Arabidopsis thaliana: one gene and its partner. The protein of the gene in region 2 interacts with the protein of the main gene of each other region in a pairwise test. Each region holds a gene or a part of one and is shown on either strand. Other genes may lie near its edges.

Evidence for each region.
Region 1: the proteins of CSI1 (region 2) and CESA6 interact in a two-hybrid assay, tested with the Arabidopsis thaliana proteins (one study listed by BioGRID).

Annotation. Positions count from the first base shown.
Region 1 is NC_003076.8:25,879,350-25,887,196, reverse strand, and holds CESA6 (cellulose synthase 6), read right to left. Parts: upstream 6,165-7,847; 5' UTR 5,643-6,164; coding exon 5,562-5,642; intron 5,168-5,561; coding exon 4,972-5,167; intron 4,884-4,971; coding exon 4,681-4,883; intron 4,598-4,680; coding exon 4,320-4,597; intron 4,238-4,319; coding exon 3,971-4,237; intron 3,888-3,970; coding exon 3,542-3,887; intron 3,355-3,541; coding exon 3,217-3,354; intron 3,131-3,216; coding exon 3,005-3,130; intron 2,894-3,004; coding exon 2,681-2,893; intron 2,598-2,680; coding exon 2,321-2,597; intron 2,236-2,320; coding exon 2,039-2,235; intron 1,957-2,038; coding exon 1,606-1,956; intron 1,446-1,605; coding exon 864-1,445; 3' UTR 469-863; downstream 1-468. UniProt on the Arabidopsis thaliana protein: Catalytic subunit of cellulose synthase terminal complexes ('rosettes'), required for beta-1,4-glucan microfibril crystallization, a major mechanism of the cell wall formation. Involved in the primary cell wall formation.
Region 2 is NC_003071.7:9,404,084-9,409,186, reverse strand, and holds the start of CSI1 (binding protein), read right to left. Parts: upstream 3,129-5,103; 5' UTR 2,837-3,128; intron 2,500-2,836; 5' UTR 2,395-2,499; coding exon 2,329-2,394; intron 2,008-2,328; coding exon 1,934-2,007; intron 1,715-1,933; coding exon 1-1,714.

The DNA of each region.
Region 1 (7,847 bases), on a different chromosome or scaffold from region 2:
AGGAACAGTAGACATTACATATACACACGAGTATTTTTGCTGAAATGTGACAAAATTAGAAACTTTTATTTCAAAAATGACTCGAAATTAAAGTCCTCTTTCTGGTATCTATGTGTAGACATTTTAATAAAACTAGAACGATACAAAAATATTAAATTACTTTGCGTAGTGACACTTACAAATGAGAAACAAAAAAGTTTTCAAAATTCTCTAACCAAAAAGACTAACCAATCTGAGTGCTGCCCTCTGCAGATATGATGAAAGCACCATGTCACTTGTCAAAACAGAACCAATAAAAGTGTAAAAGGCTGTGTAGATTCGGGCCTGTATTGGGCCTGTATAATTTGTTTTGGGCCACTCTGATCAAGTTCGTAATTTTCTAAGGTTTGGTAACATTTTTAATGGATGCTTTAAAACGTCTCCAAGCATGCGGATTGAAAATCAAAACCAATCAAACCTCGAGTAAATTAATTTTTCAAACAAGAAATAAGATAGGGAAATTAGTGAAAATAAATCAAAGTTCTTTAATCATAAAAGATTACAGATTGAAAATGCTCTTCTGTAATATTCAAAAGAGATCAGAAATATTCAATTAAAGAATAATTTGACAAATCTTTTTTCTCTCACCACCAAAGAACAAAACAAATAGACAACAACTTTCTTCTTCATCTCTATATCTACAACACATTCTTGCAAAAATAACAATTCTCGTAACAAAATTAAATCTTCTTTTTCTTTTCATTTTTCATCATCTAATGAACACAATGAAGGAGTCTTTTAGAGGTAAAACAATATCTCTCTTACCTCTCTTTGATCCGTGGGAATTAAACCTTTTTCACCAACCCATCCACCGGTCAATCGAATCACAAGCAGTCTAAACCACAGATCTCGAGAATAGGACCGCCTTTCGCCACAAACGGATTAACCCGGACCCAAAGAAGTGTAAGAATCGAGGCCAGGAGGATGGACCAGACGACAATAATGGTTGGCATTCTATCTTGTTTCCCAAGCAAACCTTTAAGGAACGGGTAAAGATGAATGATGACCCAAAGTGCAAAGAACAGTCTTCCGAAAAGCGGTCCCCACGAGTCGTATCCATTGCTGATGGCATCAGAGACTCCGACTATGACTCCAATGACGTTTATGATGAGTAGAGTCATTGGAGGGATGAGAAGTGAAGTCCATTTGAAGAGGTAAAGGTCAGAGAACTCTCCATCATCAGCTGCTTTTGATGTGACTGTGAAGTTAGTGTCGACACCAGCAAGAACCTTGAGGAGACCTTGGAAGAGAGCAAACAGATGCGCAGAAACACCTCCAATGACCCAAAACTGTTCGTTTCTCCACCAATCATCGATCCCAACTTTGCCCCATTGCATCTCGAGAATACCCGTTATTGCAATCGACGAGAAGAGCGCCATGAAGAGGATACTCGCATAGTTGCTAATCTGGAAAAAGAAGGAACAAGAATCGTTTTCCGGTCTTAAAACACACAACTTGGAATAAAGATTCATATGATACTTTTAACCCCCAGTGGCAAGGAAAATGAATAAGCACAAAACGTGAAATAAAGATTCATATTTTGAGAACTCAAGATGATTGTTTTACCTCGGGAACGATGAATTTTCCAGTGAGAAGACAGATGGCAGGGAGAGAACAGTAAACGATGAGCGGTAGAGAGGTCCACGGGTAAACCACAGAGTTAATGTAGGACAACCGCTCAAGCCATTTCAACCCACCTCCATAACCATACCAAATAGGACAATGCCTACTCAAGAAAATCTCAACCGACCCAAGCGCCCATCGAAGAACTTGATGGAGACGATCCGAAAGATTGATTGGAGCTGATCCTTTGAAAGCCGCTAACTTTGGTGTACAATAAACAGATCTCCAACCATGAGAATGCATCTTAAAACCCGTAAGAATATCTTCGGTAACAGAACCATAGATCCACCCAATCTGAGATTTTTTTCACAAGGTCATCATCAAAATCAAGAATTGATTGAATAAACACAACAAAGGTTTAAAACCGGCTGCTTACCTCTTTTCCCCATTCAGTTTTATCTTCATATCCGCAACTAATGACTTGGATGGCTTCTTTAAGCAGACAAGCCGGGCTTGCGTTTCTAGCCATCCCACCATTCTCCATACGCGCAGATGCAACAAATACAGGAGACTGCCCAAATTTCTTCTCCAACTTCATTTGCATTGCCTCGGTTGACTGTTCTACGTTAGAACCTAGAATGTTTTTTAAATTTTATTTTTTTAGTAAAATGCACCGACTAACGAAAGAGTTTAACAACAAACAGGATTTGTATGATACCTTTAGTGACGCGGCCCTCTTCGATATTTTCTAATGCGTGGATCTGCTTTGACGCTTCCCTATTCTTCTTCTTCTTATCCGCAGCCACTGTCTTTGCTTTACGATTCTTTCTTGAACCAAAACATAGGAGACACCATTTTGGCCAGCAATTGCATGTCTTACGTGGGCCCTTCTTCTTCTTCGGTGCATCAAATCCGTAAAGCGCTTGCCTCCTGAAAACACAACCTGTACCGACGTATATAGGCCCTTGTAGCCCATCCAAACCTTTCATATTGATCTGTAAATAAAGATTCATTAGTTGGTATTCTACAGAAATCTCAAGAAAAAGGGATACAATAGGAAAGTGGTGGCTGTACTTACATCAAAGAACACAACATTGCGATTTGAGTATCGATCGTGCCTATCAATCCCATCGAACCTTTGAGGGAACTGAACATAACAGATTTTCTTTCCTGACTGAGGATCCATCATGAAACACATTGCTTCTCTAAGAGCTTTGCTATTGTTGATGTAGTGATCACAATCGACATTCAGAAGGTAAGGAGCATTTGATAGAACCCCAGAGACTCGTATCTTCAACAAAAGTTTTGTAGATGAAATCAAGAGTCAGGAACCATTTCAATAAATGGCAAGACGTAATTTACAAAGAAGAAGGTTTAGAGCTTTAAAAAGTATATCATTTACCAGGGAATTCATAGCTCCAGCCTTCTTATGGTGATCAAATCCGGGTCTCTTCTCACGAGAAACGTAAACTAATCGAGGCAACTCGTTGTTTTCGACATCACGAACACCGTCACTTCCAAGGAAGACCTTTAACAAGAAAACAAAGTATAATTAAATTTTGAAGGACAACACATAAGAAGGCTTTTCAGAAATAAGAAGCATTTGAAACTCACCTGAATCATGCCAGGATGATCTCGCACACTATTACCGGGCCAAGGTGTACCGTCTTGCATAGTCCAACCATCCTCAGGCACTTTCTGTGCTGTTGCTACTAAAGCATTGATCTTTACTTTGAATTCTTCATAATCTCTCTGTCAAAACCAGTAAAACACACAATCTTTCAAATCAATTTTCAAAGCCACCATCTTCTTTCATAAGAGCCCATATAACAAAAGATTGATAACTTTTCTCATGAATTTTTTTTTTCTAAAGCAAGAATCAATTAGACCAAAACTTTTCTCATCAAATCAAATTTATAAAAAAGTAAGAACTAGTAACCTTCATGGCTCGCCGCTCCCTAACAAATGCGGGATGAACTTTATTCTTCAAGTAGTCCATTTTATGGCAGAAATACCATTCGGGAGCACGAGGCTCAATACAATATTTCTTGCAGAAAGGAACCCATTTCCTTGCGAATTCAGCGGTCTCAGAAAGAGCTTCGAAAGTAAGCATAGCAGCACCATCATCAGATACGTAACAAGCAACCTTATCGACAGGATAATCAACAGCAAGAATAGACAAGACAGTATTTGCAGTAATAAGCGGAGGCTCTTTCAATGGATCCACTGTACTAACAAATACATCCACAGGGGATAGTCCCGACGGTTTCCCTTCTTTCTCATATCTGCAAACAAAAAAAATAAGGATTATATCCCCAAAACAAAGTTTTAACATTTCCAAGTGTAATAACCCACAAGATGTAAGTACCTTAATGAGAGTCGGTCCAAGTACGTTTCTCGCTCGATAGGGTACCATTTAGGGAACTGATCAAGAACCCATGAAACAGCAAACCATATCTCACATATAACAGAAATAAGCCACAAAGCATATGCATCTTTGACGGGGTGAAGAATACGGTAGTGAAAGAAGAGACCAAGAATCACAAGACGTAGCACAATTAACATCCGGTAAGGATTTATCTTGCTCGATTTGATTGGTATCTTCCTAGACAATGGCTGCCTTCCCTCATCCATCCTAAAATGGAAAAAAAAGGCTTGATAAATATCACTGCAACGGAACAAGACATCAACAAAAAAAATTATATTCTTTGCCTTACATTGGAAAATCAGCATCATCACCATCTTCAAAATCAGGATCTCCTTCATGCCTAACAACCTGAAGTTTCTCATTCTGCTTTCTCTTCCATTCCTCCATCCGATCTTTCCAAGCGACACTTCCATAACCATAAACCGCAAGATCTTTCTGAGGTACCATAGGCCTTGGATGTGCAGCCACGGTCGGGTCAGAAAGAGAAACAGGATGAACTCTATTGCCATGACCACCAAGTGAAGGAGGAACAATAAGAGCATGTCTATCAGAAGAAATCTCAACGTCCTGTAATAAAACAAAAGAGAAATCTGAGTGAGCCAATTACTGAAGATGGGTTATACAATGTGGATACATTCTGAGATTTTTACCTCGTCGCCGTAAGTCAGCAATGGAATCTGAGAGCCAGGTGGAGCTGAATCCAAATCAGATTGTGGGAAACCGGAGTTGCGACGAGAGATTGACATACCTTCAGAAACCTGATCAAATCCAATCCCATTATTTCCATACTCAAACTCATTGTCTAAATCATCAATGTCATCTTCCTCTTCATCACCTTCAACTCTTGGACTTCCTAACAAACAACAACATAGGCCGAACAAATCAGAAAATCTTCTACATTCACAAAAAACCAAAGAAATTTGGTCTAACAAACAACGAACCTTTAAGACGTTTGAAACGGGTTTTGCACTGTGGACAAGCTTGATTGCCTTCTCGTCTTTCGTACTCATAGCAAGGTCTACACACAGGGAATGCACATTCGTTACATGCCACAAACGGTTCTCCATCAACAGTCAATTCGATCTCATCTCTGCAGATTTGACATGTCTGTCCACTCAGCTCTTGGACTGATCTTATCTGCACAAAACAGTAGAGTTAAATACATCAGATCATAGTAGTGACACTATCAGACTGGATCTCACACCAGATCAAAGTAACCCAATAACATAATTATTACTCTTCACATTGATAGATTCATAATTGCAATTGAAGAAATCTCTTAAATTGGAGAATTAAGACAAGTCAAATCCGGAAAAATCCATCCCACCGACACAATCAATTCTTGATAAAATTAGCTACAAGGGTACGTAATCTTAATACTAGTACTAAAAACCCTAAATCTTAATTGATTTGCAGTGGTAAGAGCCAGATCCACAAGAAAAGTAAAAAAAGTCAGAGACTTTTGAACAGAGATAGAGAAACACAGATCAAAAGACAGAGAATTGGAAACAAAAGAAGAGGAGAAACATACTCGGGCATTCTCATCGGCATTAATGAGGACAAACTCATTCCTGTTGTGAGAACCGGCGATTAACCGACCACCGGTGTTCATATTTGTCTGAAAACAGACACAGCTAACAATCTTGGATTTCACAGATCGATTGAGAAAGAGAGGAATGTGTTGTAATTAACTCAACTCGATTGTCAGAGATCCAGAGACCATAAATCAGAGGATAGATAGCTCTCTTTCTCTCTCTCACACACACACAAAGCGGCAAACCGGAGTCTAAAAAAACAGACTTTGATGGGAAAAATATAATAAAAATACAAAAGGGGGAATAGTGAAGGTGTATTGTATATATGGAGATGGTATTGATTCAGCTGCAAGCCACAACCTTTTCTTTTCTTTTGGTTTTGGGCCTCTCTCTCCTCTCTGAAAGTGCACACAGTCACAGAAATAAAGGATGATTCCAGAGCGAGAGAGAGAGAGAGAGTCAATGGTGGAGAGAGAGAGAGAGACAGACGCAAGCCTGCGAAATGATGATAAAAGGGGGTTAAGTACAAACGCGTAAGGAAGAAGAGAATCAGTGATTAGTTAAATGGTGTGAGATAATTAAAGGCAATTATGTAGATGAGGAAAAAGAGCACCAAAATTAGATAAAATTAGTAATTAAATTTTGAGAAGTAAAAGAATGTGGGACCCATTAAACCTTGTGTGTATCTCTCTCTTCCACTCCACTTGTTGTTGTAAAGAAGAGATTAGTAAAAACTTCCAAACACACATTATTATTAGCCATTAATTATTAACAATACTGTATTATGTGATGCATTGAATCACCCTAACATTTTATTTTGTCTCTAAACTTTAGGTCTTTTGTTTTGTTACAAAAAAAAGTCACCTTTTTTTTTTGGGTGATTTTCTTCACCCTAAAATGTGTTTAATTTGGTTTCGGTTAAATTTTCCTACCATACATGTTTTAAATATATAGTAAAATCAAATCTACTTTGGATGGAGCCTTTTAGATTTAGTTTAGATCATATTTGGTTTATTAAATATATATATTTTAAAGTTAAAAAATGAAAATAATATAAATGAAGTGAAACTCGGTTTGAATTAATAACTACATTTTGAGCCAATTCAGAGTGGTTAGTCAATTTTCTCTATTAATCAATTGATAGCCGAGATTGTATATAATCATTATAATTTTATTTTCGTTTTAATTATTTGTCTGCGTACACTCTCACGTTCTTGCAACATGTGCAAGAAAATAATAGTTGTAATGAAATAGTATTATCTTAATTTAAGATTAAAAAAAAAGTTACACAATCAAGTTCTTAATTCCTCTAATTATTTTGTTAGAGAGACTTCAAAATGTCGAGAAACAGATATGGGCATTTACTTCCCAGACAAAAAACAATCTGTAAGCATCGTGTCCAAGATCCTATTTTCTAGTTTTTTTTTTTGTTCCTTCTAATTTTTTATATACTTTTTTTTTGTTCCTTCTAATTACGTTTAATTTTTTACTTATTAAATTTATTGCTTAAGTTAATTATGTTCTACGCATGGACTGTATCATGGTTTTTGACTGTTGACTGCATTGGTTTTCACTTTTGCTTCCCTCCTTCCTCTCTTATGTTTTTACTTTTCTAGTTTTTTTTGTTCCTTCTAATTACGTTTAATTTTTTACTTATTTAATTTATAGTTTACTTATTTAATTACATTTTTATTAGTTTAATATCTCCATCCTCTGATAATTTTCTTTTTAGTTTTTATAGTTAAATTATTTTTCAACTTTGATCACTCTCTTTTGTTCAATCAGTTCTGTTTATTTTACTATATTTTTTTGTATGTTATGTCTACCATATTTTTAAATAACATGCTTTTTTTTTTTTTAATCTTGGCTCCACTCGCCAAGTCGCCATATAGCTAATTTTTCCTCCGTGCTTAAATAAGAGAAAAATGTTCAAATTATTGAGACTATGGTATCACATCACACAAATATATGCGATTTGCCCATGTATGATGTCTATACTATATGTATACATTTGCCGACAAATAGTTCGTGGTATATATAAAACAATATTTTAACAGTATTTTGCTTGTTGATTTTTTTTAATCTTTTGACTTGTTGATAGATATAGTCCGGAAATTAAAGAAATATTAAGAAACTTTCATAAAAAAAGATCGAACTTTAGTAGGTTACCACATCAAATGTCGTTTTCATGATTGATTGAATGCTGTGTACTGTCTTCTCCAAGCCCTCGTGCCACATGTTCTTATAGAAACTGTCGGTGCCCTTATATTATTCTTTTTCCT
Region 2 (5,103 bases):
AGCAGTAAGCTGACTGATAGTTGCAGTATCTGATTTATGAATCAAATGATTCAATGTCTTGGCGGCAATTTCTTTACCATTTGGACTACCATTCTTTAGTAGCCATAAGAGAGCAGGGACAGCATCCGCACTTTCAACACAAGCACGTATATCTTCGCTATGATTGCACAAGTTCCTAAGGATAGTTGCAGAGTCTTCCCTGGCTTTGGCCGACCCAGTCTCTAGAATTTGAACAAGTGGAGGTATACCTCCAGCAGCAGTGATGGCCCACTTGCTTTCATCATTTTCGTTAGACAAAAGGCAAAGAAGTGCAACAGCACATTCTTGCTGCTGTTCGGATGAAAGACCCAAAAGAGATATTAGCAATTGGATCCCTTCACGGCCCTGTAGTGCTTGCCACAGGCTACCTTCATGGTTACACAGCATCAGAAGAGCCTTTACAAGCTCATCTTGAACCTCATTCACCGCCATCGTTATTAGACCAACAAGCAAACGTTTTGCATCCGAGTTGGAAAGTTTGACAGAGAGTATGGAATTCCCATACAAACTTGCAAGTGCTTCAATTGTACGTTCTTGCACCAAGAATGGTAGACGAGGCTTAAACTGCTTCAGCAGAGTCTGTTCAACGACCAATGGATCTGATGCTCTTGTAGTTTCTGCCTTGCCATCATATATCATCAATGCTGAAGCTAAAGCCCCAAGGGTGTCGGCAGTCTGAGCAGGCGAAGAGCAAGATTCAAGGCTCTGACCAAGGCTTGATATGACATATGACAAACCACCGGAAATATTAGCAAGGGCACACATTGCATTTTCTTGTAATGCTTGCGCATATTCACCTTGCATGAATTCTTTAGATGGAGCTATTGTTGCATTTATTAAAACAGGAATACCATTAGAATTAGCGATTTCCCGCTTTGCTTCCTTAGATTGAGCAGAAAGCGACTTGAGAGCAGCAGCAGCCTCTGCCCTCACTGGGGCTTCATTACCCGATCCTAATAATTTGAGAAGCTGTTTTGTAATGTCTGCAGTCAATACACTGGAACAAACAGAGGCGTCTTCCATCATCATACACGCAAGAAGGAAGCAGACATTAGATAGTGTACTTGACTGCCCGCTTGTGAGCAGCTTCACAAGTACATCCACTCCCCCAGCTCGAATTGTCTCAGACCAAAATCCCTCTGTGGTACTAGAAAGGTTCTTAAGTGCACCAGTTAACAAACCATCAACCTCTCCTTTTTTATTTCCACTGCGCAATTGGTCCCACAGAACCGGTACAACTCCCTCAGTGGAAAATATTTTTGATCCAACATGGTCTTTAACCCCACCTTCAGAAACAGCATAGATTGTCTTTGCTGCAGCGATCTGCCCTTCGACTGAACTGGACTTGAGAAGACCAAGCAATGGAGGAATGCATCCCCCAAGTAACACCTTAACTCTAAGTTCGTTCTCCTTGCAGAGTGAACCCAAGACGGTTGCAGCTTGTATCTTCACTCCAACTGATCCCGATCGGAGAAGAGAGACAAGTACTGGCACAGCTTGGGAGTGTGATCCGACAGCACTGAATGCATTCTCACGCATTTCTATAAGGTCCAGTAACTGCTTCAGACAATATTCTCTTTCTTGTGCAGATGATGAACCTTGGCGCAGCTGCTCAATGCATTGGGCAACACTTGCTAATGTCCCATCTGGATCTTCCATGCTGGTTGTCCGGTCTCTGCAGGGGATGGGGAAAGTTAGATACTAATTCGCTAATAGGTGTGCCTTTCTGCTTAAAATGTCTCATTTGAAAGGATAACATAGGAAACCAATCCAGATAATATTAATTTCCACAGGCATTGTTAAACCAAGATGGTGGTGCAACAAATACAGATAAAACCTCAATTTTATCACGATGATTAGCTCCCATGCAGTACCAAATACATATATGCGTTACCTCAAACTCATCTTTGTGGTTGAATGTGGAGTTGGGGGCTCTGAATCATGCATCTTCATATCCCCATTTCTCTCCTGCAATCAAGACCAAACAACAGAAAATAAGTTAAAAGAGCAACAAGACCTTTTCGCTCCTATGCAATGGAAAAACTATAACCTTTATCATGACACTCTATCAGATATAACTGACTGGTACAAAGCCATTAATTAACAATGGACTTAGCTCAAGTACTTTTTTCAAATCAGATTCAAAATGCAAGGGACATATCAGCTTAATCATCCTGCTAATACACCAGATCTGACTTTGCAACTCAGAAAGATTGCAGTATATCAACTAAACAAGCTTTTCCATAAACCCGTGTGATGAATGTTAATACTGAATCAAGTAATTATTACCGTGTCACTTGGGGCAAGGCCATTTCCATTAGTGGAAGGAAATCTCCATCCAAGAGCACTTGTCATATCTTCACTTCACTTAAAAAATTCTCAAATCAAAAGTAGACCCAGAGACCTTGCCCCCTACCCAGATCTACTCAAATCAGATCGTCAGAACATCAACAACACCCCCTGCATAATATATAAAAAGGATCAATCTTTACAATAGAAAACGATACAGTGAAGTAGGAAAAGCTCAATGCAATTATATTATAATTGAAGACTAATAGTATAAAAATATCACTCTACCTAACTGAATTCTACTACTGCTAAATCTCGATCCGAATCGTTTAACATTCCAGATTCGAACTAAAGCTAAATGAGGAAACTTTTTAACCAATAGGAACTCAAAAAACAGGATTCTTCAGATCTAGATCATAATTGGATCTCTATCAATGAAATCAAACACAAGAGATCCGATAATTCAAAAAGCATGCATTTAGACATTGATAGATCAAATTGAACTCACCTCAATGCAACAAGGAGAAGAAGATGAACAATCTGTTACGTAGAAGAGAAGCGAATAAGACGAGAGAAAGGAGAGAGGAGTGAGAGAGAGGTTTCTTCTTCTTCTTCGTCTGTGATTTTGACTCAACAAAGTATAAAGCGGGGGAGAGAGAGAGGGAAGAGAGAGAGCTGTGTGTGTGCTGGTGAGAGAGAGTGATCAGATTGGAGCCGGCTTTGTCCACCGACAGACAGCGAGTGGATTCACTTAGCGACTCGAGCCGGCTTGAGTCGGTTGTCGAGCCGACAGAACTAAACGACTCTTGTACAGCGAATGGTATACTTAATTGTTTTTTATTACTTTCTTTAATCAAAAATAAATGAGGAAATTGACTTTTAGCTGTGAATTAATTATTTACATCAAACATTTTTTTTGTTAACAAAAATTATATAACTGTTTTTTTCCAGCAATTAGCCAATTAGTAAACATTTTGGTTCATTTGTTCAAGCAAAATTTTACATTTTATAAATTTGATTAACCTTTTTATCCAAAACATCCGTAGAATTGAAACAATATAAGAAAAAATATTATACCACAAAAATTACACACACGAATAAAAATATTGTCTAATTTATTTCTCAGATAATAACTTAATTAGTTAATTGTCTCTAAGTTTAGATTATGTTACCAAATTATCACTCATGGGGTTATCTCGATTTTTTAGTGCAACACAGTCATTACAAATATTTATTTAATATTTTTCAAAAGGATATCAAAAATAAATTGTCTATTTTATTGTGTCATTTAACATGTTGAAGTAAGTTATGTAATAATCAAAAGTTATCTCTTACAAGATCAATCGGATAAACAATCAAGAAAAAATAATAAAATATACTGATGAATTAATAAAAAGAATAATAGTAAGATCTGCAGTAGTTGTTGTTATTGGTCCTATTATGTTGATTTGTTACCAAACTTGATTAATTAGCCCATAACAATGGCGATAGTAAAGGTTTCTATCTACCACCAATTGTCATCCACAACATAATCATCACGAATTCTATATATATGGACAAAAAGTATAATAACTATTTTTACGGCTTCCTTCACATCTAAATTATTTTCCATAATTGTTCAAAAATCGCGACAGCAGTTCTTTTCGTCTGAAAGTGAGAGAAGTCGGGGGAGCAAATTATAAGGATGGTAAAACATATAACGTGGGAGAGAAAAAGCACATGGCCTCATGGCTCATGAGAATCAAAGATTCTAAGTTTTAACTATTCTTTTGTTTTTTCCTCGACGCATGTTTTGTTTCTATCGACAACTATGCCCATAAAAGCATATGATATGCACAATTATGATAATCATATGAATGCACATGTGCTCTTTCTTCCTAGCCAATTATGATCATTGACGATCATCACTATACCATAAAAATGACTGGACAAAGTCATATTCTTTGATGCTTCTTGTCACAACTTGATACATCCACTTTCCCGAACCGTATAAAACCCAAGAAGCAAAATTCTCATATAGATCTCATAGATTCGTTCGAAATATGTTAAATTTGCATCGGATATAGAAGGTGAAGGCTGCGTCTCCGGCCGGTGAACCGTCGTTTTACTGATCTTGTTTCTATTATGTTCCGATTTGGACCACTTTTTTGTAACCCGTGAAATTCTTAGCCCATCTGTCAATAGACCGTTTGGAAATGAATATCTAAAAAAAAAAAAAAAGATGTGAAGTCCATATTTAATCAGTGCCCGGCATTGGAACGTAGTAAGTTTGAGGAAGCATCAACTTGTAGCCGTGAAATTAATATTATGGTTTTTAGTGGTTTTAATTTAGCGTGTCATAAGTGAGAGTAAAAGAACTCTTTGATATTTCATTTTCATACATATATAATTTACTTCAATATAATGGTTTGATGAGGGTCTTATCATACATTTGATTTTTTCTTTTATTTTAGTGTTACATTTTAACTTAATTCTTACGTACATCTTTTCTTAATAGACTATTTTCTCATTATTATTTTTGGTTTCTCTCTCTCATTTTTTACATTTTGATTTTGTTTGCAAAGATTTGAAAGTCATCTTTGCCAAAAAAAAAAAAAACCAAAAAAAAAAGATTTGAAAGTCATCATCTAGTCCTCTTGATGAGTAGATTGTCATTGTTTTTTTTGCTAAATTGTAAATATTTCATAGATAATGAAAACAGTTTAGGTTGTAAACATAGAATCTGAGACCTATAGATATGGTAATGGATCCAAGACAAAAAGAAATAAAAACATA